4 linked regions of the Caenorhabditis elegans genome follow. The protein of the gene in region 3 interacts with the protein of the main gene of each other region in a pairwise test. Each region holds a gene or a part of one and is shown on either strand. Other genes may lie near its edges. The genes, in order: F53G12.4, dyb-1, magu-3 and fbxb-9.

What was found.
Region 1: the proteins of magu-3 (region 3) and F53G12.4 interact in a two-hybrid assay, tested with the Caenorhabditis elegans proteins (one large-scale study listed by BioGRID).
Region 2: the proteins of magu-3 (region 3) and dyb-1 interact in a two-hybrid assay, tested with the Caenorhabditis elegans proteins (one large-scale study listed by BioGRID).
Region 4: the proteins of magu-3 (region 3) and fbxb-9 interact in a two-hybrid assay, tested with the Caenorhabditis elegans proteins (one large-scale study listed by BioGRID).

The regions. Positions count from the first base shown.
Region 1 is NC_003279.8:132,388-137,791, reverse strand, and holds F53G12.4 (LisH domain-containing protein), read right to left. Parts: upstream 3,456-5,404; 5' UTR 3,439-3,455; coding exon 3,364-3,438; intron 3,287-3,363; coding exon 3,211-3,286; intron 2,244-3,210; coding exon 1,894-2,243; intron 1,558-1,893; coding exon 1,080-1,557; intron 584-1,079; coding exon 510-583; downstream 1-509. Other genes in the region: mex-3 (K Homology domain-containing protein), read right to left, coding at 4,210-4,378, 5,099-5,180, 5,239-5,404.
Region 2 is NC_003279.8:1,481,334-1,489,105, forward strand, and holds the start of dyb-1 (Dystrobrevin-1), read left to right. Parts: upstream 1-1,749; 5' UTR 1,750-1,772; coding exon 1,773-1,902; intron 1,903-3,385; coding exon 3,386-3,543; intron 3,544-3,589; coding exon 3,590-3,726; intron 3,727-4,520; exon of another isoform or gene 4,521-4,592; coding exon 4,593-4,678; intron 4,679-4,722; coding exon 4,723-4,918; intron 4,919-5,845; coding exon 5,846-6,077; intron 6,078-6,273; exon of another isoform or gene 6,274-6,294; intron 6,295-6,435; coding exon 6,436-6,762; intron 6,763-7,090; coding exon 7,091-7,342; intron 7,343-7,734; coding exon 7,735-7,772. UniProt on the Caenorhabditis elegans protein: Plays a role in cholinergic transmission and as a functional partner of dystrophin (dys-1), necessary for muscle maintenance. Required for localization of ctn-1 near dense bodies in muscle cells.
Region 3 is NC_003279.8:3,900,871-3,907,194, forward strand, and holds magu-3 (Guanylate kinase-like domain-containing protein), read right to left. Parts: upstream 4,339-6,324; 5' UTR 4,331-4,338; coding exon 4,196-4,330; intron 3,837-4,195; coding exon 3,534-3,836; intron 2,898-3,533; coding exon 2,706-2,897; intron 2,618-2,705; coding exon 2,299-2,617; intron 1,746-2,298; coding exon 1,543-1,745; intron 1,494-1,542; coding exon 1,387-1,493; intron 916-1,386; coding exon 802-915; exon of another isoform or gene 751-801; coding exon 684-750; 3' UTR 551-683; downstream 1-550. Other genes in the region: C50F2.7 (Sialomucin core protein 24), read right to left, coding at 98-356, 405-461.
Region 4 is NC_003282.8:11,160,736-11,164,484, forward strand, and holds fbxb-9 (F-box domain-containing protein), read right to left. Parts: upstream 1,817-3,749; 5' UTR 1,795-1,816; coding exon 1,709-1,794; intron 1,659-1,708; coding exon 1,544-1,658; 3' UTR 518-1,543; downstream 1-517. Other genes in the region: C08F8.15 (F-box domain-containing protein), read right to left, coding at 1-56; C08F8.6 (non-specific serine/threonine protein kinase), read right to left, coding at 2,051-2,438, 2,528-2,643, 2,812-3,121, 3,225-3,553.

The sequences.
Region 1 (5,404 bases), 3.8 Mb from region 3:
GGTTGTGGGCACTACCGCTCCCCAAGGGGACTAGGTTTCCGTGTGGAAGAGAAAATGTTTATACTCTTCCATGTTATTTGCCAATAGAGCGGATTTGCATCTGCGAGGATGGATGAGTTGTTATGCCACGCAGCTAATCCCTATGGCCTTGGACTTTTTCTTGGTAACTGAAAAGTTGCTTTCCTAGCAATCGCACTAGCATCAATGAAAGAGTTTTTTTCGTTTTCAAAGTCATCAGGACTTACCCAGAAATTTACCAGTAAGAACTAAAATAAAAATAACCAAATATAAATTGAGAAAACTCATCTCTCACAGAAAATCGGCGCCAAACTTTGAAAAATTACACTCAAATATGGTTTTGTGTACATTTTGCTCCTCTTTCTCAGTGGCTCCGCCCGCTCGACACACATTTGTTCGTAGTTTGCGCGAACTTTTTTCAAGTTGAATTGTTGAAATTCCTAGGTGAGAATTTATTTATTTCAAAAGAAATTTTTTAAAAGAAGAAAATTTTAAAAAGAATAATCGGATCCTCCGGAAGATAGTAGACCGGTGTCGAAATCTTCAAGCTCGTCGATTGATTCTCCTGAAAATTTTTTATTATTGATTTTTCAGGAAATTCATCGATTTGTATGTAGAGGCATGTTTTTTTTTTACTTTTGCTCCGCAAGCGGAATATGCGCCTTTAAAATTATAAGCTACAGGAACAATGATCGATTTTTAGGAGAGTTGCATAATCACGTGCTCGCTGGCTGTCTCAAAATTCACGTTTTCTCGCGGACGAGAAAACTTGAGAAATATGAGAAAATGGCCTAGAAAATCCTGGAAGAGGAGAATTCCTCGTCCACAGCCAAAATAGCGTGTGAAAGAAGAGATGCAGACGGCAAAACGGTTATTCTTTGCGTTTTTCACGTTCAGAGAAAAAAGTAGTATCTGCGTCTCTCACGCCCAATGGATAGCGAGAGTTGGCGCAAACGTGAATTCTCAATGAGGCGCGTTTGCTTCAAGCTTATGCAAAAGGACAGCCAGTGACCACGTGCATAATTTTTCGAAATTTTTGCATGGTGCAAGTTCAAAGTTACCTTCTGACAAGACCAACGGCTCCACTAGCTCCTGTTCCTTTGGTTTCGCTTCCTCCTTCTTTTTCTCCATAGGCAGTATAGACTTTTTCTTCGCCACGCCATCCTGCTCGAAATCCTCTAAATCATAATCCACGTTATCCGAGCCGAAAATGGCGTCGATTTCCCGACTTTTCGCGCTTTTTGTCAGCGGTGGTCGTCCCATGGAGAGCGGCGGAAGATGTGCGTTGAAAATCGCCGGAAGTGGGTCAGAAGTGCTTGCCACGTCATCAGTGACTAACGCGGATTTTGACGGACCCCATGCGTTGGGAATTTGGCTTAGTTCGATCATTTTCTCCGCGCCAGCTGCTGTGGGTTTCCCCAAGATATCCGAAAAAGTCAACTTCTCCTCGGAAGATGACGACGCGGATGACGTGGAAGAGTCGGAGGAGGACGATGAATCGTCGGAATCGTCTTCTGCCTGGTTGGATAGACGTGCGAGCTGAAAAATCGATCGATTTTTTTGCCAAGAAAAGTAGGAAAGTAGGACTCTCATGTCGGCGCCGCAAACGCCGCTCTCACGCCGCGATCTGAAATCTTTATAGCGATGCGCAAAATCCAAAAAGTGTCGGACCCGGAGTGAAGTTTGCACCACATAGTGTCATACGCTGGCACTAAATTTTACGCGCGCGCGCAAATACTTTTTTAATCATCATTTGAGTGATTTAGGGCATTGAAATTTTTCTTTTGAATAAAAGTCGCGAAACATCGATTTTAAAAAATCGCCTTGTCGACTTTTGTTAAATATTTCAAAAAAAAATTATTTAACGCAACTCACTCGTTCCCTCTCCATTTCCATCCGTTTCCGCATCGTTTTTCGAAATTCCTCATCACTAAGCGGTGTAATTTTCAACGGTGCTCGCTGTTTATCGACCATATTAATTTTTGCAAACGGGCGGCCGGCGCCAATCGATTTTATCGATTTTCGTTCAAAATCGTCACCGGTGCCATCGCGAATATCGATTTTCAGCTGACTTCGCAATAGATTATCGATTTTTTCCCCATTTTCCACGTGTTTTTCTGCACTCTCCATGTAGTTTCCAGACATTTCTGTTTTCAAGACTTGAGATGATATTGGATATCCATTCTGCTCGAGCCAATCGGCAATCATGCTATGGGTGACACGTTCTGTAAATTTTCAGAGTTAAGGCCACGCCCAATTATAGGATTTTCTTCAATGTGGGCGCACGATGTTTTTTGTTTAAATAGAAACTATGTTATCGACAAAAAATTGCACGCGCTCAAATTATAAAAAGTGGGCGTGGTAATACCATGTGTCGCGTTTTTTTTCAAGATTTCATGAGAATTACATGAAGATATATATATATATATAATCGAAAAAATACGATCGCACAAATTTCTCATAATATATTTTTTATCTACCTTGTTGACTAGGCTCCTCCCCGTCCTTCGACAAGACAGCTACAACAAAATAACAACGGCAACAAGATTGGGGGCGGAGTAAAGTTCAACAGGTAGATCAAAAATAAATTATGAGAAATTTGTCAGATCGTACTTTCTCGATAATAATTTTCAATGTTTTTTTCAGAAAATGAAATAACAACGCCTATTTTGCAGTTTTGCAAAAAGTGGCCGTGGCCAAAATACCCGTAGAACGCGGGGTTGCACTGAATCCTTGATTTTCTGACATTTTACCTATTACGGAAACACAAAATTCTGAAAATGCATATTGCACAATATATTTGACGCGCAAAATATCTTGTAACGAAAACTACAGTAATTCTTTAAATGACTACTGTAGCTCTTGTGTCGATTTACGGACTCGATTTTTGAAATTTATTTATTTTCGAATATTTTCGATATTACACTTTCATTCGTTTCTTCGTGTCTTTATTTTCTCATTTTTATCTAATTTTAAAATTGAGCCCGTAAATCGACACAAGCTCTACAGTAGTCATTTAAAGAATTACTGTAGTTTTTGCTACGAGATATTTTGTATTTTGAATTGTGTGTTCCTGAAAAAATTTTGAAGTTTTTAAGTCGAAAATTGTGATTTTTTTGGCGAAAAGAGCATTTTTCATAAAAGAAAAATCCTTTTTTTTTCAGAAAATTTCAAATTTTCTAAAAATTTCACCTCTATACGTCAAATCCCTACTCGTTTTCTTTGGCGTTTCCCCCAACGTGGCACTTATCGTCGCGCGGATATATGTCTGAAACAATGGGACACCTCAAAATATAATAAATATTTTTGAATTATTAATATATTCAACTATTGTGCTATTATTACCCGCAATGGTGCATATTGTGGCAATTCGGACAATTGATCGGCCAATTGACGCAGGATAGGATTTGTTGAGTGCATTTAATAATAGTAAAGGTATAGTATAGGGCGTGCGCGAGTGAGCCAAAAGCTCGGGGAGTTGCTATGGATACCAGAATATGGAGAGACGACACGAATCGCTTCATTCACATACACCAAAATCTGTGGAATATATCAGAACTTTTACAAAATACGATAAATTTGATGGGTGAGGTGGGGATCACTCGAGTTTTTAATTATAAAGAGGTGCTATAAATATAAAAGGCCTCTCAATTCTCCGTTAGTTGTGCGTAGTAGAGAGGGGGAAAATTGGGAGTTAAACACTAGGTGAGAGATAGAGAGAAAAGAGGAAATCCTTATAATATATATAATTTTTGTTTAAAACATGAGTTGGTCGTCCTATCATAATGCAAAAAAGAATAATAGAGAAAGTTACAGATTTTCCAAAAAAACCTACTGTAGGAATATATATTGGGGGACTGCATGGGTTACATATATAAATATATATAATATAGATATTTCAAAAATATGAATAACAAATAATAATAGTTATATATAAATATATGTGATTTTTTTCGTTTTTTTTGTCTAGGATTTTGGGGTGAGAATGATGGTGATTTTTGTGTGTTCTAGTAATGTAGTAAAGAGGTGAGAAAATGGGAATGGAGGGACTCGTACACCGATGAACAAAGTAGAAAATGGGAAAAAGAGTCTTTTAAAGAATGGAAAGATGAATTTGGAACTCGTTGAGGATGGGTTTTTGCTAGATGAGAGTCTACACGATAGTAATGGAATGATGAATGGATCCACAGCTTATCCATTGATCGGCACGAGAGTATGATCGTTGTGATCGCAGGTCGATGAAGTCGGCGAGGCAGATGCTGAAGCCAACGATCCTGGGCTCAGATTCATGTTTCCGCCAGACCAGATTGTGCTGAGAAGACCGAAGCCGGCGGATGTTCCTTTGAGGGAGGACATGAGCCTGCAAAAAATTTGATTTTTCATAAATTTACAATTGAAATTTTCTAGTTTTTAAAGAGAATATCACACTTTTGTGGAAAAAATTTACGACTTGATATTTCGAGATATGTCGAAATTAAAAAATATGTATGATAAATTGTAAATTTCAGTAATTTTCCTTTAAATTTCAAGTTTTTCTCATAAAATAAATAAATTTAACTTTACCTCTTAAAATTGGAATTTCACCTTTTTCTCTCAAAAACGAGGTTTTGAAAAAATCAATTTTTTGCATGTGAAAAAAAACATATTTTTTTGAAGTTCAAAAGAAAATTACAATTTTTCTTTTATTGTTCAAAAAAAATTTTCTTTTTATAGATTTCTGACGGACAAAATCCAATTTTATTTAAAAATTTTTGAATTTCAAATGAAAATTATAATTTTTATAGAGAAAACTACGATTTTACTCTTTTTTATTTTCAAAAACGGATAGGTTCAAGATTTCGGAAAAATAATTTTTTAATGTGAAATTTTTTAAACATTCTGAGTTTTAGAAACGTTATTTTTTATTTAAAAAATTGATAAGAAGCCGTCAGGTTCCGAGTGGAAAACACGAAAACTTGTTTTTTTTTTAAATTTTTTAGCGGAAAATCAAATTTTCTTTCAAAAATTTAGAACTTTGAAGGAAAATTGCAATTTTTAGTTTTATTTCAAAAATTTATAAAATTCCTTCAAAAATATATACCCATTGGTTGGGGATTCCTCGCGTTTCTCCAATCCCATCGACGACCATGCGGACAGGGCATCGTACTTGCGGCTGAGAATTTCTGAAAAATCCTTATTTGTCATTTAAAATTCTTATTAAAATTCGCAAAAAAAGCTTACCGTTCTCCATAATATCATTAAGCGAGTTGTTGGTTCCCCAGTAGTCGTAGGTTGGCAGATCTTGTTTCGCCGATTGTCCTCCTCCCAACGATGGACGAGAAGACAGTCCAGTACCGGAAAGAGATTCCGGAGTCAACGAACTACGCATCGATGGGAAACTGCGGAG
Region 2 (7,772 bases), 2.4 Mb from region 3:
CCCCTGATCTACACGAATTTTAAACAAAAAAAAACATTCCGCATAAAACCGCCTCCTTTTAAAATTGTGAAAGTGGAGAAACAAACACACGTTAAGCCAAAATTTCTTTCATTTCGTGGCCTAGAAAATCCAAAAACTTAGGCCACTAATTTTCTCTTCCTCATCCACTTCGTAATATCCCTGTGTATAATGCGTATACTTTTACACCTCATTGAGTTGAGACGGATGGGGTGAGGGGTCCCAATGTTTCAGTGGGGGCCCCCTATCTCTTTTTCTCTGCACTCTCTCTCTCTCTCTCTCTCTCTCTCTCTCTCTCTCTCTCCATCTTTCTCCGTATGCTCACATTCATCCCACCGCTGCTCTCTGAGCCAATACGTCTCCCCCCCCCCCCTCCTCTCCTTTTGCACATCGATCCGTCTTGTGTCTCTCTTTCTCTAATACTCTCTATTTCTCTAAGTCTCTCTCTCTCACTCACGTTTGCCTAAATTCACTTTCTCCAGTGTTCCCTTGAGTGCTCCGAGAGCAAAAGCGTATACCACGAATTAATTTTTAATTCGTGTATTTTTGGCTCGATTTTCCCTTTTTTTTCAACATTTTTCTAAAAATTATTGCTGCAATCGCGCTTTAATGGCAATATTACCTGAAAATTCGTATGTTGTTGCAATGCAATCGCGCTCTATTGGACAAATTTTTAATCCGAATTTTGAAGTTTTCTTTAGTGGAAATCTCTATTGAAATTTTTTTATAAATTGTTTATACAAACACGCTCTAATGATAAAAAGGCTTTAAATTGTGTACTCCGCGTGGAAAAAAGCAAGTTTTTTGTTGTATTTTTTGAAAATATTTTTTTTAAAGAACTTTTTTTGAATACTCTGTGTAGTTCTCGTGGACAAGTTTGGGCCTATTTCGCTTAAAAACCTGAAACACGCGAAATTCCAGTTTCGGGGGATTTCAACTACCCGATTAGAAAAAAAACTTTTTTCACAAATTCAATTTCTGCCGAATCAAAATTCTCCGGAATTCAAGTTTCCGCGAATTTCAACCTAAAAAAATTTTAGCTCAAAAACCGTAAGGTAGTTGAAATCCACGGAAACGAAAATTCCGGCGAATCAAGTTTCCGTGGATTTCAACGCTTATTGAACAAATTTCTACAAAACGCCCCCGGGAGTTCAAATCCGCGGAATCGAAATTCCCTGGGATTTTGATTTACCGGGATTCAAGTGGTGTCAATGGGAGAGGAAATGCATTTTCTCTTACGCGCGTGGTGTCAGAGTGTCTCATTTCGGTTTGATCTACGTAGATCTACAAAAAATGAGGGAAAAGAAGAGACGCAGAGTTCTCAACTGATTTCTCATTCCCGCATTTTTTGTAGATCAAGCCGTAATGGGACAACCTGATACCACGTGACCGTTATTATTTTTCTCTCAATCCTGAGATTTAAAATCCCGCGGAGTCGAAATTCCCCAAAAATATTTTTTGTACTCCTCGTGGACAACCTCGTTGGTTCCCTGAAACATATTGGCTTAGTAATGTGCCAAGCAAATCAGCGCGCATACATGCAAAACCCATTAGGCTCCCCCCAAATGTCTTCTCTCCCAGAGTTAGACTCCGCCCACTAGGAGCCAGAGCTCCCCCAATTTTCTTTGTTTTAAACCCTACCACTTTTTAGCTCTGGCCAGCCATTTTGTGGGTGGAGTTTTGGTTTAAATTTTTTTAAAATTGATTTAAAATTTAAATTTTAAATTTCAGACACTCTGGGTTTTTCTCCTGAAATGTTGTGGTCAAATGGTGGAGGAGGACCACGTGAGCCGAGCAGTGCACCATCACCAGACCATCATCGTGCAATGCATTCTGTACCACCAATTGTGGCATCTGAAATGCAACAATTGATTGATGAAATGCGTGGGTGTTCAATTTTGCGGGAAAATTGGCTAAAAAACGCTAAAAAATTCCCGCGTTTTTGATTCTCCGGAATTTTAACTTCTATGGGATTATTTTTCGGTGGATTCGAATTTTCGGAAATTTTCAATAAATCTTTTTTCATTAGAGATTTTCAAAGAAAAAGTAGAAAAAATACCTAACTATGTAAAAAAAATTAACGGAAAATCTCCACGTTTCTAAGTCTTCGGAATTTAGATTTCCCTGGAATTAAGTACTCGGTGGATTTGAATTTACGGGATTTTTTTTCTTTAAAATTTTTTTCAAATTTATGTTCAAGTTAGCACAGCAAAAAAATTTTTTTTTTAATTCACGTTTTTGAATCTACGGAATCCAATTTCCCTGGAATTTCGCTTCCGCGTATTTGGATTTCTGAGTTTTTAAATATAAATTTTTGCAGAAAATGTGAAAATTACGTGGAAACTCAAAATTCGCCGAAAAAGGACAAAAAATCTCGAGTTTCCAATTTAGCGGAATAAAAATTCCCGGGAATTTTGTTTCCGTGGATATTAACTACCCAAATTTTTTACCATTTTTCTCAATTCCAATTTCAATTTTTTCATGGAAAAATTGGTTAAAAAACGCAAAAAATTCCCGCGTTTTTGATTCTCCGGAATTTTATTTTCTCTGGGATTTTTTTTCGGTGGATTTGAATTTTCGGAAATTTTCAAAGAAAAAGTAGAAAAAATACCTTATTATGTAAAAAATTAACGGAAAAATTTCCACGTTTCTAAGTCGTCGGAATTTAGAGTTCCCTGGAATTAAGTACTCTGTGGATTTGAATTTACTGGATTTTTTAAAACAAAATTTATACGAAATGCTCAAAGTTGATACACTCTCCAAAATGTTCATGAAATTTACAAGTTAACACAACAAAAAATGTCAAAAAACTCCGCGTTTTCAAATCCCCCATTATCGAAATTTCACGGGAATCCAGATTCCAGGGAATTTGGCATTCGGGGAATAAAATTTTCGGATTTTTTTCTATGAAAATTAGTCAGGGTCTGGATAAAATAACAAACGAGTGGAAGCAAAAATTTCGCCGCAAAAAGAACAAAAAACTCGAGTTTCCAATTCCGCGGCATAAAAATCCCGTGAATTTTGTTTCCGCGGATATCAACTACCCGACTTTTTTAAAAACATTTTTTCTCAATGCTCAATGTTGTCGAAAAAACACGGAAATACCTTCAAAAAAAATCCAAAAAAAAAACCCTAAAAATTCCGGTATCCAATTCTACAGAATCGAAAATTCCCTAAGAATTTTGTGGATATCAACTACCCGAGTTTTTTTTTGAAAATTCATGAATTTTTCCGCTACTCCTCTTGAGAAAGGGAAGCTTATAAATAATTCTTCTTTGCGAAAAAGTGCAAAAAAATTATTGGCTTTCATTGGTTAATGCCCAAAGTTCAGAAAAAAAGTTGAATCATCAATAGAGCGCATTTTCAGGTCTCCAAGATTTCGACTCCATCAGATTTGCCACGTATCGAGCCGCCTGTAAACTGCGATTTATTCAACAAAAGACGAAAGTTCATTTGGTAGATATTTGGAATATGATTGAAGCTTTTCGAGAAAACGGACTCAATGCATTACCCCTACATACTGTGGTATGTTGCAAGTGTGCTCTATTGAGAATGTGGGGGAAATTTTCAGATCAAAACGTCACGCGCCGAGCTTCTGCTAACTACAGTATTCCACAATTTGAATAAAAGACTTGTAGCGTCACAACATGTGGACACGGATGTATCGATTTCTTTGCTACTCGCGTTTTTGTTAGGTGCTTATGATAAGTGAGTTTTGGACTCCTCTCGGACAAAAAACTCACGCTTCTGAATCCCCGGAACCCAGATTCCCCAGGAATTTAGATTCGGCAAATTCGAAATTCTAAGAATTTTTTCTTGTGTTACTGCGTGAAAACTGTGTATTTAGAATTCCAATTTTTACTGCAAAAAATAACGAAAAATATTCGGGTTTTCGTGTCTCCAGAATCTAGATTCCCTAAGAATTTTGATTCCGCGTATTGGAATCTACGGGATTCAATCTACACATGTTCTGTAAATAACAGAAATTTTGGTAATATATGAAAAAATTTAAAATCCTAAAACTGAAAGAAAATTTCCGGTTTTCGGATCCGCGGAATTTCACATTCCACCGGAATTTGGTTCCCACAGATTTCAACTATCCGAAATTTTTTCTGTTTTTTTTTGTTTTCAGCATAATGTTTTGATTTTTCAAAAATGAAAATTGACTGAAAGAGCAGAAAAAATCTCAGGGTTTCATATCTCTGGAATTAAAATTTCCCAGTGAATTTTTATTCATATAAGGACACTTTGCAAAAAAATTTTTTTTTGATAAAGTCACGGATTTCTGGCTTCCCTCATAAATTGAAATGGAAGAGTTTTTGCCGAACTAGGCCAGTAGATTTACGGCGCGTTGCGTGTCGCGTCGCGGCTCGATTTTAGTTGTAAAACTAAATGTATTTGTCCGTGTGGAGTACACGACTTTCCCGTCCGGCAGGCGATTATCAATGGAGCGCGAAAAATTCAATGAGGAAGGCCAAAACCCCGTGCGCAGTTAGGCTGTAATTCTCACAACGACACTCCGATATTCCGCTACCTAGAAGTGACGTCACACGCTTCAAAAGCCAATTTTTCAGACAAAATACCGGACGTTTGACGGTTTTTTCAATAAAAGTCGCGTTGGCAACACTCTGCGCTGGAAAATTGGTGGACAAGCTGAGATGTGAGTTGCGCTTGCGAATTTCAAAAAAAAATCTGAAATTTCAGACATTTTCTCTCAAATCGCTGATTCGAATGGATTAATGGATCATATTAAATTTACTGATTTTTTGCAACAAATCCTCTCCCTAACCACTGCAGTTTTCGAAGCACCGACGTTTGGATTTTCCGAAAACGCGGTTAATCAGTGCTTTCATAAGGATGAGAAAGTATCTTTGAATGTGTTTCTGGACACTTTTTTGAGGTAGATATCAATTTTGGAAATAAATAAAAAAATAGATTTTAGAAAAAGTTTTGAAAAAGTTTTGAAAAAATTAACCTTTTACACAAAACTACGTTAGCATGTGGTGCCAGGTTGTCCAATTACGGTTTGATCTACAAAAAATGCGGGAATTTTTTCGCCCAAAAAATGTGACGTCAGCACGTTCTTAATCATGTGAAATCAGTTGAGAACTCTACGTCTCTTCTCCCGCATTTTTTGTAGATCTACGTAGATCACGCCGAAATGAGACACTCTGACACCACGCGCGAAAGAGAAAATGCATTTCCTCTCCCATCGGGGGGAAAACCAGTCCCTCAACTCACCCAGAATAATAATTTAGGTGTCTTGGAAGTTCTGAAACACCTAACATTTTGAAAAATTAGAAAAAATAATAGACGTAGGGCTGAAGTCCTCCCGCGGCCACGTAAGGCATCCCCGTGGCCTAGGATTTTCAGAGCGGTGTAACTTTTGAAAAACTGTAAAAATTTTTTTTTAATTCTGCAATAATTGTATCTATAACTTATTCAATGAAACCAAATCAAAAAATCGAATTTTTCTTTTCATGGGGTCACGGGTCCCCACGCCGCCACCGAAGTCCTCGCCGTGGCCTAGAAACTTTCAAACAGTGCATCCCTAAAGCCACTGCGCCGATTTTCTTGAAACTTTATCAGAACACTTTATATAACAATTTCTATCAAATTATCAAATAAAATCGAATTTTAGTTGTCATGGGGTCACGGGTCCCCCCCCCCCCCCCACGGGGTGACCGAAGTTCTCACCGTGGCCTAGAATCTTCAAAATGGTGTAACTCTATAGCCACTGCGTTAATTTTCTTGAAAATTTATCAACCAACACTTTGAAACCTGTTCTGTCAAATTATCAAAAAATCATACAAAATTAATATTCCAGCGATCCATGTCCCCCATGCATAATGTGGCTCCCCTTGCTACATCGAATGGCGTCTGTGAGCAACGTGTACCATCCGGTGGTGTGTGATGCGTGTCAAGTCAGAAGTTTCACAGGATTTCGGTATAAATGTCAGCGATGCGCCAATTATCAGTTGTGTCAAAGCTGTTTTTGGCGGGGAAGGACGAGTCAAAATCATTCAAATGAGCACGAGATGAAAGAATATTCCAGCTATGTGAGTTTTTTGAAAAATCGATTTTCCACGTGGAGTACACGAAAATGTATCTATAAAGCGCGCGATAAAATTATTGATTTTCCGCCGGCGATGAAGAATCGATAAAATTATTGATTTTCCGCCGGCAATCAAAAAAATCGATAAAGTTATCGATTTTCATTCGACAAAAACGATTAGTTAACAGAGAAATTATCAATTGCTGGACAACAAACAATCAATAAAAATGTAGATTTTCCGCCGGCAATCAAAAATCGATGAAATTATTGATTTTCCGCCGGGCAAAAAAAAAATCGATAAAATTATGGAAAAAAGCGTTCTCAACTCCAAAATCAATAAATCAATAACTTAGTAATTTCAGAAATCGCCGACAAAACAGCTCGTACACTCAATTCACAAAAGTCTCCAATGTATTCCTGCCACGTCAACCGTCGGCGATGCAAACATCGATATTTTTAACGCAAAAATCGGTGGCCCGGTCAGCAGCAAACCTGCTCGACCGCTAAACCTGAACAACATCGTCCCGGCGACACCGACGACGATCCGCCGGCAACACGCTGCCACGTCATCAGCGGACTGGCCGACGTCACCGGTACTTCTGCCGGGACAGGCGTCGCATGGAGGAGTTATTGATGATGAGCATAAGCTTATTGCGAGATATGCAGCAAAGTTGTCGGGAAGGGCTGATGTGAGTTTTTAATCGAAAAAAATCAGGAAAAAATCAATAAAAATCTTGATTTCCCGCCGGCAATAAAAATCGATAAAAATCTTGATTTTCCGCCGGCAATAAAAAAAATCGATAAACATCTTGATTTTCCGACGGCAAACAAAAAAAATCAATAAAATTATTGATTTTCCGCCGGCGATAAAATTCGATTAAATTATTGATTTTCCGCCGGCAATCAAAAAAATCGATAAAATTATTGATTTTCCGCCGGCGGCAGAAAGTCAAATTATTGATTTAATAAAATTTGATCGATTATCGATTTTTCTTTTTAAAAATCAATAAATTGCAGTATCCCCTATCAAACGGTCGAAGTATGAATAGTTCAATGGTCGGAGACGAACGGACCCTTATTGCTCAACTGGAAGAAGAAAATTCAATGATGGTACGGGAAATGGCTCGACTGGAGAGCCAAACAACTTCCGATGACGGGCTCGCCGGGCTCCGCGACCGGAAAATGGAATTGGAAGAGAAAATGTTTGAAATGCAACAGAGGAGGAGAGAATTAATGATGCAATTGGAGCATTTAATGGCTCAGTTGAATGTAGGTCATACCTACTGTGGCTAACGCGCTCTATAGATAAACAATGTAAAAATCGATAATTTTGCAGAATTCAAAAACAATCGTTATATTTTCCTCCAAATTTAGAAAAAATACTTGATAATTTTCAAAAAATTCGAAAAATCGATAATTTTTATATTTTAAGAAAACAAAGTTTTTGGAGTTTTTGATTTTCCGCCGGAGATAAAATCGATAAAATTATTGATTTTCCGCCGGCGATAAAAACCGATAAAATGTGTAAACCTGTCGATTTTTTAAGCTTCAGTAAAAATCAAAAATTCAATATCGGCTTTTCTGAAAAATTCAACCTTCAAAAAATCAATAAAATTAAATTATCGATTTTTTGATTTCAAAACAACAAAAACCTTTTCCAGACGGGACCCCAACCATCAGGAGGTGTATCATCTGCTTC
Region 3 (6,324 bases):
TGTTCAAGCAACAAAGTTAAAAAACCAGTCCTTCCAAAAATGTCACAACATGTTTTCGAAGTATGTTAAAACTTGAATAGTAGGATAAAACACCCACTGAAAAATGACCAAGCAGTGAAAGATGGAGCCCTTGGTTTTCCAGATTTAGGAGTCGTTGTCTTGATTTCAGGACCAGATGAGCTTGTTGGAAGAGATGATCCAACTGAAGAAGGGCTTTTAGTTCCATTCGATGTTACTGTTGAGTTATCATTTCCATCGAATTGCTCTTCAATTTGAAGTTTTCCATCTGATGCATCGGCACTTGTGATGTTAGAGGATTTGTCAGAAAGTAAATTTTCTGAAGAGCTGGAATCTTTCTGAAAGTTGTTTCATACCTTGACATAAATCTAATTCTAAAAACCTACATCGTCTGCAAAAATTGTTGCAAAAAGTGCGCAGCAGAATAAAACGGAAAGTCTCATGATTTGCTGGATATGTTGTGAGCCGATAAATGTTGAAATGGCAGCAAAAAGAGCTCGGAAATGAGCGTAAGGTGTTCAAATAAATGAAAAATAGATAGCTTTATTTGGTACGGAAAAGAAAAAAGGCGGGGGAGATCGACTAGTTGGGGGATATGAGAGAAAGAGGAAGAGAATAAAACGAGAATTGGCAGTGATTCATATTATATTTTTGCAGACAGACATCTAGCACATCCAACTATGTGGAACCCATTGGGTCTCGTAGCGAAGAGTTTCCAACGAGTCAACCAATCTGGAAAAGATACGACAGTGGAAGAGAAGTGACGTCATAGTAAAGACCTACCGTTTGAATGTAACATCAATATTCCTATTAACAAGTGTTAGATGAATCTTTGATTTACATTCCAATCCTATCTTTGCACTTTCGTCACAAATTGATTGGAGTTGGCCTTGAGTCCTGGAAATTTTTTGTTAGAAATTTGAATTTTGCGCCAAATGTTTTTTCAAAGAAAAATTAGTAAAACACTGAAAATTCCATTAAAAAAATCTAAAATTTGAATTTACCGGGAAACACATTTTGAAAAAAAAACATATATTTTCGGAAGATATTCGGCAAAAAGATTAGTTTGAAATATTTTTTATTTTTCTGAAAAATTAATTTTTCAATATACCGACGGAAATTGACAATAAAATGTTGACTTTCCCGCCATAATTTGAAAAAAAATTTAAATTTCTCGATAAACTTTGCAAAAATCAAATAAAATTTTCCCTAAAAATTTTTTTTTCAAATTTCTAGGAAAGTCAGGATTTCCCAATTTTTGAATTTTTTTTATCGCCGAAACATTGTTTTTTTCTCAATTTTTGAATGTTGTTCAGTTTTCCTTTTTGAAAATCAAAATATGGAATAGTTCATACCGAATTTGCTTACCTGTGAGTCCTTCGAACCGCCTCAAGTTGTGTAAACTCTTCAATTGGTGGGGGCACGACATGAACCACGAATGGCATGAATTCAGCGTTATATAAATAATTTACACTCTGAAATTGTTCCTATTACTTGAAATCCGTCATTATTATAAAAACCAACCTGAGGAGCAGCATCCAATACACACATTCGTCCACTTCGGATTTCATTTCTAACGGAGTCTGCCGATGTTCCATAGAGTTGACTATCCAATTCCCCCCACTCAACCATTCCACCTTCACGAATCTTTTGGTAAATTTCTTCTTTTCGGACAAATTGATATTCACGTCCCTCCACTTCTCCAGGTCGTTGGGCTCGTGAGGTTACTGTAAGTTTAGGGGATTTACCAGTATTGTTCATTCGCTGACATTTTTGATTATAAATAGATTTCAAAAATTTGAAATACGGGCAGTAGAGAAAGGAAAGTGCGAGATTTTAGGGAAAATGAGGAAACGTTCTAGCATAATCTCAGAATTTTAAGAAATTTAAGCTATTAATTTGGAACACAAATTTATAGGAAAATATCCAATTGACGATATTTTTGGAAGCTATTTTTACCCCAGAAGTTGACAGAAATTTAATTACTTGTTCGTTCCTTCGGAGCATTTTTTGAATTAAATTTATACCAGGTCTCGACAGAACTGAAACACTTTCAGATGAAGAGCGCGCATAAGGATGTGCGCCTTTAATAATTATCGCACTAATAACTCGCTTTTTTTAGAACTTTCTTCAATACTCATTTGATCCTCACACTCATTTTCAATGTTAAATATTATATTTTTCTAAATTTTGAATTCGAATTTTTGTCCAAATTTAAAAAATTTTAAATTTGACTAAAATTGCAATTTTTTGAGGATTTCTCCAAATCTCAGAACTTACATGGAACAATTGTTGAAAAATAATGTGGAGCCAGCCTCAAAAGCATCGACTTAATATCCCTTCTTCCTGTTCCAACTGCTCCTAGCAATACAAGAGTTCTTCTTCCGAATGGACAGAGCATTGACACTTTCTCCATTGTCAGTGAAGTTGGAAGATATCCAACTTGTGTCAAATCACCAAGTTTTCTCACTTGCATCCATTTTTCATCTTTACTCAAAATTTGTATTACATCACCTGGATTCACTTCTAGATCCAGCCAAAGACACGGGCGGTCCACGTCGATGTGAGAGCTATATGTGTCTTGGACGCGGTGGAAGTTCTGAAATTTAGTTGGAAATTATTGATGGGAATCCAAAATTGGCAGAAGTCCGACATGCAAGGTTCAGAATAAATTAAAAAATATTCACCGCAGGCGCACAATGAATCCCAGCGGGTTCCACTGTCAGTTCAACTTTTCCTTTCAAATTCTCGATATCTGCTCTAAAGTAGACATCTTTTCCATCGACTTGGGTAATAACATCACCAGGCTTCAGATCATAATTGGACTTTTCATTGATTTTTGTTACTACCAACTGGCCTCCGTGTTTCTCAACTTCAACCTAAAACGTTCAGATAATTTGAAAATTGAATAAAAATTGGAAAAATTTTATTTTGAAAATGTGTTTTTTAGAACCTCTTGTATTTATAGTCCTAATTGTTTAAAAGCGAATGGTCGGTAATTTTGTATAAATACTTTCTTTTTTTTTAAATTAAACGCTTCAAAAATTATTAAATTTTTTTTCAGTCGATATTGAGCTTTATGAAAAACCCCTAGATCGTTTAAATAAAAATATTTCAAAGAAAATTAATATGAAATAATTTTGAAGAATCGACTTTCAAAATTATGGCTGTACAATATACCGTATTTCGTTTATTAGTATTGCACCCCATTGTTCAACTTTGACATTTTATATCTCAGTTATCGTTCGACCTATTTAAAAATTGGCAACTAACAAATAATTGTTAGATCTTTTTCTATCATTTCGTAGTTTATAATATATTGATTGATATTTTTAAAATAAACCAAGAGTTTCAAAGTTAGGTATACGGTGATAAATTTCAAACTTTTCGATAAGTTTATCTATGATATTTGGACAATTTTTTAAACTATTTTATATGTACATTTACCACCACTAACTATATTCCACTTTAAATGATATTATAATTTTTATAATTTTTAATTTAAATATACTTACTTGTGTCAGTTGCCCAGCATCTACAGTAGTCTTTCTTGATTGATACTGTGGAAGAAGAATTGCTGATTGATGAATTGGTGCATAATTATGATTTTTGGTTCCAGATGATCTTAGAATTGGTGTCATGGTTGGAGATGGTCCATCAAGTGCGAGAGCATGAAATGTCTTCGTTGTCAGAACTCTTTCAGTTACGATTGTTCTTTTTTTCAGCCCGGTTTTCGGATCGATTTCAGTTTTCTCCTCAATCTCCACTTGCTCGAACTTTTCCTTCCCGTCTTTGTTTGAGGAAGAGGTGCCGTTGCTCTGAAAAATTAAAAAATTAAATTTTAAAACTTTCAGAATTTTCAGAATGTTGGCGTGTTGCTAACATTAAGCAAAAAACAGTTTTTTCTGGCCGATTTCCATATAGTTTGCCACTTTATTCAAAAAAATTTCAATTTTTTTTGAAAGTTTTACTATTATATTTGAAACAAATTCAGCATTATGGGCTATTTCAAAATATTTTTATAGCCGCCACTCCACCTCATTGTAAAGAATTTTAGATTTTCCAAAATTTTGGTAAATTGCAAACATTGGGATTTTTGAACGCTGGCAATACTTAATATGAAAAATTTGTCAAGCTTATGGTTCCTACAAGTTTAAAATATTTTTTCAAAACTCACCTTTGTGCTATCCGCATCCTGCTCCTTTCCATTCTTCTTCTCGATATTCTCGATTTTTTCCAATAAAACATGAAGACATCTGGACAAGTTTTCGGCGTTCGATCTCAGCTGAGACAACTCATCTTCTTCGCTCATCTTTCGATCTTAAAATGTGCTTTTTGTTGAATACCGGGAGAAAAAAAGTGACAAGTGAACAACCAGGAAACATGGAAGAAGAACAAGGTGGTAACGGGAGGGGGAGAAGAATCGAAAAGCATACAGAAATTGCGTGGGCAAACAAGAAGTGAGAAACGACTACGCAATTCGAGGCTTAGAGCATTTTAGAATGGTTGTTTGGGAGAAAGTACACAAAAATTGTTACAGGTTTCGTGGCCGGCAGAAATTTGAAATTCATTATTTTTTCTAGGCCATCTGAAAAAAACTACAAAAGGGTGGAAGAATCTGGATTTTTTGAATGGACTTGTAGGAATTTTCGGAAAGTGTAACGGTACACGTAAATTAAGCGAAATTGCCAATAAAGGGACGGGGGTATATTTTTGAGCCTTTCAGCGATTTTTATAGCAATTTGGGATGAGCTAAACATTAGATGCAATATCGAATACCGTATATTCTCTATTAGTAAGGCGCCTCTATTAGTTTTGCACCTCTAATAGTTTTTAAATCGGCGAATTGCCGGTTTGCCGATTTGCTGGAAAATTTAATTTGCCAATTCGCCGAATTGCCGATTTGCCGAACATCAATTTGCTGGAAGTTTTTAGAGACGGAAACACTTAAAACTGTGCCTTTTTAAAATTAATTTGCCCGTTTTCTTTAGATATTTTCGAATTTGCTTACTTTTCAAAATAGATGTAGGAGCATTCCTAGGATACGTACAATTTTGCCGATTTGAGTTGAAATTCTCAATACCGGCAATTCATCAAAAATTTCAATTCTGGCAACTTGTCGATTCTAGGCAAACTCTTCCATAAAAACAAAACGAATCACCCAAGTCTAGGCAAGAAATTTCTTATGCCTAGACCGCTTCGATTTTTTAAAAAACCTAAAAGAGAAAGAATTGGGAAATGAAATTAAAAGCAAACAAATCTAGGTAAACTTTTCCCCATAAAAAGCATACAAACATATATCTATATCCTTTCCAAAAAATAATTGAAAAAGAAACCAAAACCAGAAGTCGTAAGAAGGGATATCAGATTAACATGTGTGTGTATGTGAATGTTTCAACGACAAGAAGAAGAGCATGGGAAACGAATTCATGAGCTCTCTCTCTTTTGAGCAACGACTACTTATGCCTGAAGACGCAGAGAAATTGAAGAGAGAATCGATGGGAAGCAGTGGGTTTGAAAATTGTTTGAAGAAACAACAACAAGAAAGGAAAAAGAAAAGAAAAGGGGAGAATGCTAATTTAGCAGCAGAATGCAAGTGGAATGAGCACAGTGAATTGAATATTACATTGTGAAACATGGGTTGAGTACGGAGCTCGTGTTGACTTCTGAAGTGAGTAAGAAGCCAAGCAGTGGAAAGAGCGTGGCGAGACCTTCTAGGGCAAGATGATTGCCGAAAAATTTGCCGATTCTCGAATTTTCCGGCTCCGACAATTTGGTTTAAAATTGGAGATGTACATATTTTGAGGAGGGAAGTAGTCTATACACACCAGAAGTTGGCGGCAAACAATTTTTTTTGGCAAGTCGGCAAATCGGCAAATTGGTGGAATGGGAAATTTCCAGCAAATCGACAAGCTGGCAGATTTGCCGAATTTGGCGTAAAAACGGTAATTGCCGAAAATTTTCGGCAAATTGTGGTTTTGCACATTTTTTTTTGGAAATTTCAGAATTTCAATTTTAATCGGCAAAATTGTACGCATCCTATGAATATTCCTACATCTATTTTGAAAAGTTAGCTAATTCTATGAAAATATCTAAAGAAACGGTAAACCGGCAATTTGCCGATTTGCCGAACGGCAATTGCCGCAAACCCCTGGCACACACACGTTAATGACCCAGAAATGATATTCCAAAAATTTTCAATAACTTCCAAATTTTCAGCTAAAGTTTTGGTAACTTGCCAAATTTAAAAAATAGCGGAATTTCTGAATATTTTCGAGAATGCTGTATTTTTAACTCCTACAATTT
Region 4 (3,749 bases), on a different chromosome or scaffold from region 3:
ATGCGTTGAGCTCTTTGAGGCAATTGAAGAAGACGAAATGGAGAAACGGCAGCCATTATAGATGTGTTATGCAGAAAATGCAAGACATATGAAGTGACTGCAAGAGAATATAGATCGATATCTGACTAAATGGTTGCAACAGATGGCAATGTTGTAGTGACTGACAATGAGCATGATAGGAATCCCAGGTGACCTCATCCTAAATGTTTCAAACGAAAAAACCTGATTTTCAAAAATCAACATTAACATTTTTCCTTCCCATTGCAAAATCTAAAGTTTAAATATTGGGAATATTAAGAAAGTGATCTATCCAATGTTTAAATTTCAAGTTTGGTTGCTTTAATTCAAAATTTACCACATCATTTGTAAAACGTCGAACCTTTTCCGGTGCACATAGTCCTGGTGTAATTTTCTCACAACTATTCAGCATGTACAGATTAAAATCAATTACACAGCCCTCGAGACGAATACTCAAAATAATGTATCTGAATGCTCCAGCACTCTTCCGTTTAAGATTATTATTTATTTCGTCCCATGAGTGAAAAGAAAGGAAACAAAGAAAGGTAAGCAGCAAAAAATAGCGGTCAAAGGGACAGTGCCTCGGAGGGGACAGAGTCAGAGGGAAAGTGAGTATAAATATGTGTTCATAAAAAGTACAATTAATGAGAGTGCATTAAAACAAGAATCTAGGAAACAAACATATCAACATTACAACATACACTATTTGCATTTAATAATCTGATTACAACTGTTGCATTTGTTCCATCGAATCGTTTAATACGAAAACCACTTATTTTGATTATTGGATGTTTAAAGGTATTTCCATTGCAGATGTGAACCAGTTTAATAGAAGCTGCATCTTCTTCTCGTGCATCCTTGTAACATATTCCTTTTAATATTGTTTCTATAGCATGTTCTATTTCCATATTCATCGGAGCTCTGAATGCCAATGATTTAAGTTCTCTATTGGACCCACGTATCCAATGCTTTAAAAATTTATTGACATCTTTTTCCAAAAAAATGATGCCTCTACCGACTTGAACGTAAATTTTTTGGCCATTAGACACCAGCAAATCATTCAGGTTATATCGCGGCACTCCACGAGTGAATACCGTCGTAGTATTATGAATGAGAAACTTGTGAATGAACTGTGAGCTTTTATACGTGCAATTATAAAAATCAAGAAACCCCGCTTTTGATAAAAATGTATCACTAACGGGATGCTTTCGATTAATTCTATCTGAAGTTATTTCAATACCTTCATAGGTGAGCGTTCGTATAGGTACTCCTTCTAAACAACTATTAAGATCTTCAAAATCAACATGAACATTTCTCTTTGCCATTATAACATTCAAAGTTGAAATATTTAGAATATTGAGAAAGTGATCTATCCAATTTCTAAATGTCAAGTTTGGTCGTTTCCATACAAAACTCTCCACTCTATTTGCAAAAAATCTAACGTTTTTCGTAGCACATCATCCTGGTGTAACGTTTTTTTACTGCTCAATGAATTAGACTAAAATCGATTTGACTGTTTTCGCAGCTAATAATCAGAGCAATGTCGCCAAATATTTCTAAAGAAAATCGATAGAACTTTATATTGAAATTTCGAACGAGGTCTTTTGTTTTTTTTTGTGGAGCACAGGGAGAGTGAGAATCTGAAAAAGAAAATGACTAAACTGGTTGTTTGTTAACAAAATAAACTTACATTGAATTATAACTCATGTGCGAGAGTGAAATTCGTTGAGCTCTTTCAGGCAATTGAAGAAGACGAAATTCAGAAACGGCAGCCATTATAGTTGTGTTAGGCAAAAATGAATGACTGCAAAAGAATATAGATCGATAGTTAACTGAATAGTTGCAACAGATGTCAATGTTGTAGTAACTGAGCATGGCAGGAAACCCAGGTGACCTCATCCTGAATGCTTCGAACAAAAAGCAATGTTACTAATGAGAAACTCCAATATTCAAAATAATCACGTACGCGTAGGATAAAAAACTAGATATCACATGAAACATTCAAAAATAATTTATTTTTCTCGAAAGTCAATCAATACAACTCCTCCTTCTTATCGTCTTCATACTTTTCCTTTTTCTCTTCCTTTTTCTCCTCTTTCTTCTCTTCCTTCTTTTCCTCAACAATTTCCTTACTGACTTTGGTAACCTCCTTAGTCTCCTTATGAGATTTTCCCTCTGCCAACTCAACTTCTTTTTTCTTGATAACCTTTTCTGTTTGATCTACAACTCCTTTCTTCTTCTTTTCCTGTTCTTCCTTCGTTTTCTTCATAAGAGATTGCTCCCAATCATACGGATATTCAGTGGATCCCGTATTCTTCATTGCCTCTCTCAAAAGATAGTAGATCCGTTCATAGTTCGGCTCATCAAAGAATTGTCCCTTATCGATCGCTTCGAGAATGTCAAGGTACTCACGTGGACAGCTGAAATAAGATAGGTTTTGAAACAGAGACGGGTGATGAAAGTTTTTTCAACACTTCAAAAATAGTTTTTTAGAAAATCTGTCTCTTACCCTCCGAACATCTTCTTCTTGACGATGGGATCACGGCGAATAGCACGCTTCTCATTTCCAACATCCTGGATTTCTGTCATATTACGCCATGGCAGGGACCCTTTAGTGAGCTCAACCTGGAAATTTAACATTTAAAATGTTAGATTTCGGATCAATTTCAATTTCTGATAAGCTTTCTGCCTTCCTTAAAATGGCAGAGTTTGAATTATCGCGCAAGTGACTTTAAGCGCGAATTCAAATCTAGTTGAAAAGCAGATAATATTTTGATCCGAATACACACTCACCACCATGTAAAGCCACGTTTCGCAATCATCCTGACGACAGAGTTCACGTCCAGCATGACAACTGACAGGCGCATACTTGACAGTCCCACGGAACCCGGCGACGTTACGGGGCTTCTTGATAGTTCCATCCTCGTGAGCAAATTTACGAGCCATACCGAAATCCAGCACATAAACTTTGCGAAGCTCATTGACCTCGGCACGTCCGATTGTGTAGTTGCCAGGTTTGACGTCACGATGGAGATATCCAATGTTGTGCATGTCCTCGAGTGCCTCCAGCGATTGACGGGCAATGGAGATAGCGGTTCCCATTCTGGAAAGGCAATTTGGTGATTGAATTCTGGGAGATCCAACGGGAACAATAACTTCCGTTTTGCCAGATCTCTGTAAAACCGTTTCTCTGAAAGAAAACTTACGAGAATTTCTTAGTTGGTGAAATGGCTCTCAAATCGGCAAGTGACAACCCAACAAATGTCATCACGACATAATTGAAATTATCGACTTGTCCCTTATCCTCGATATTACAGAAATGACGTCCTCCGGCCTTCTTCAACTCATTCAACACGTAGACTTCCATTTTCAACAACTGAATTTTCTCGTCTTTTCCCTCGACTTTAAGTGCAAAAAGGTCTCCTTTCGGGTTGGAACACTTGTAGACTGCACCAAATGCACCCTCTCCGAGTTTCTTATCAATTTGCCACTTTTTTACTTTTGTACCGACACTTAGCTGGATCAAGTCGCCCATTTTATTTGAGTTACTGTAAATGTGAATTGAATTAGATACAAATTTCAAGCCATTACATTAACATTTGGTTAACACAACTGTTTAGGCTAAAAGAAAAGTCTGCCCTTACATACCTTTTAGTAATTTGTCGGAGAATTATTATTGATTTATTTTTCGAATTCCCCCTTTTGGAAGTTTTCTTTTGATAAGAAAAGGT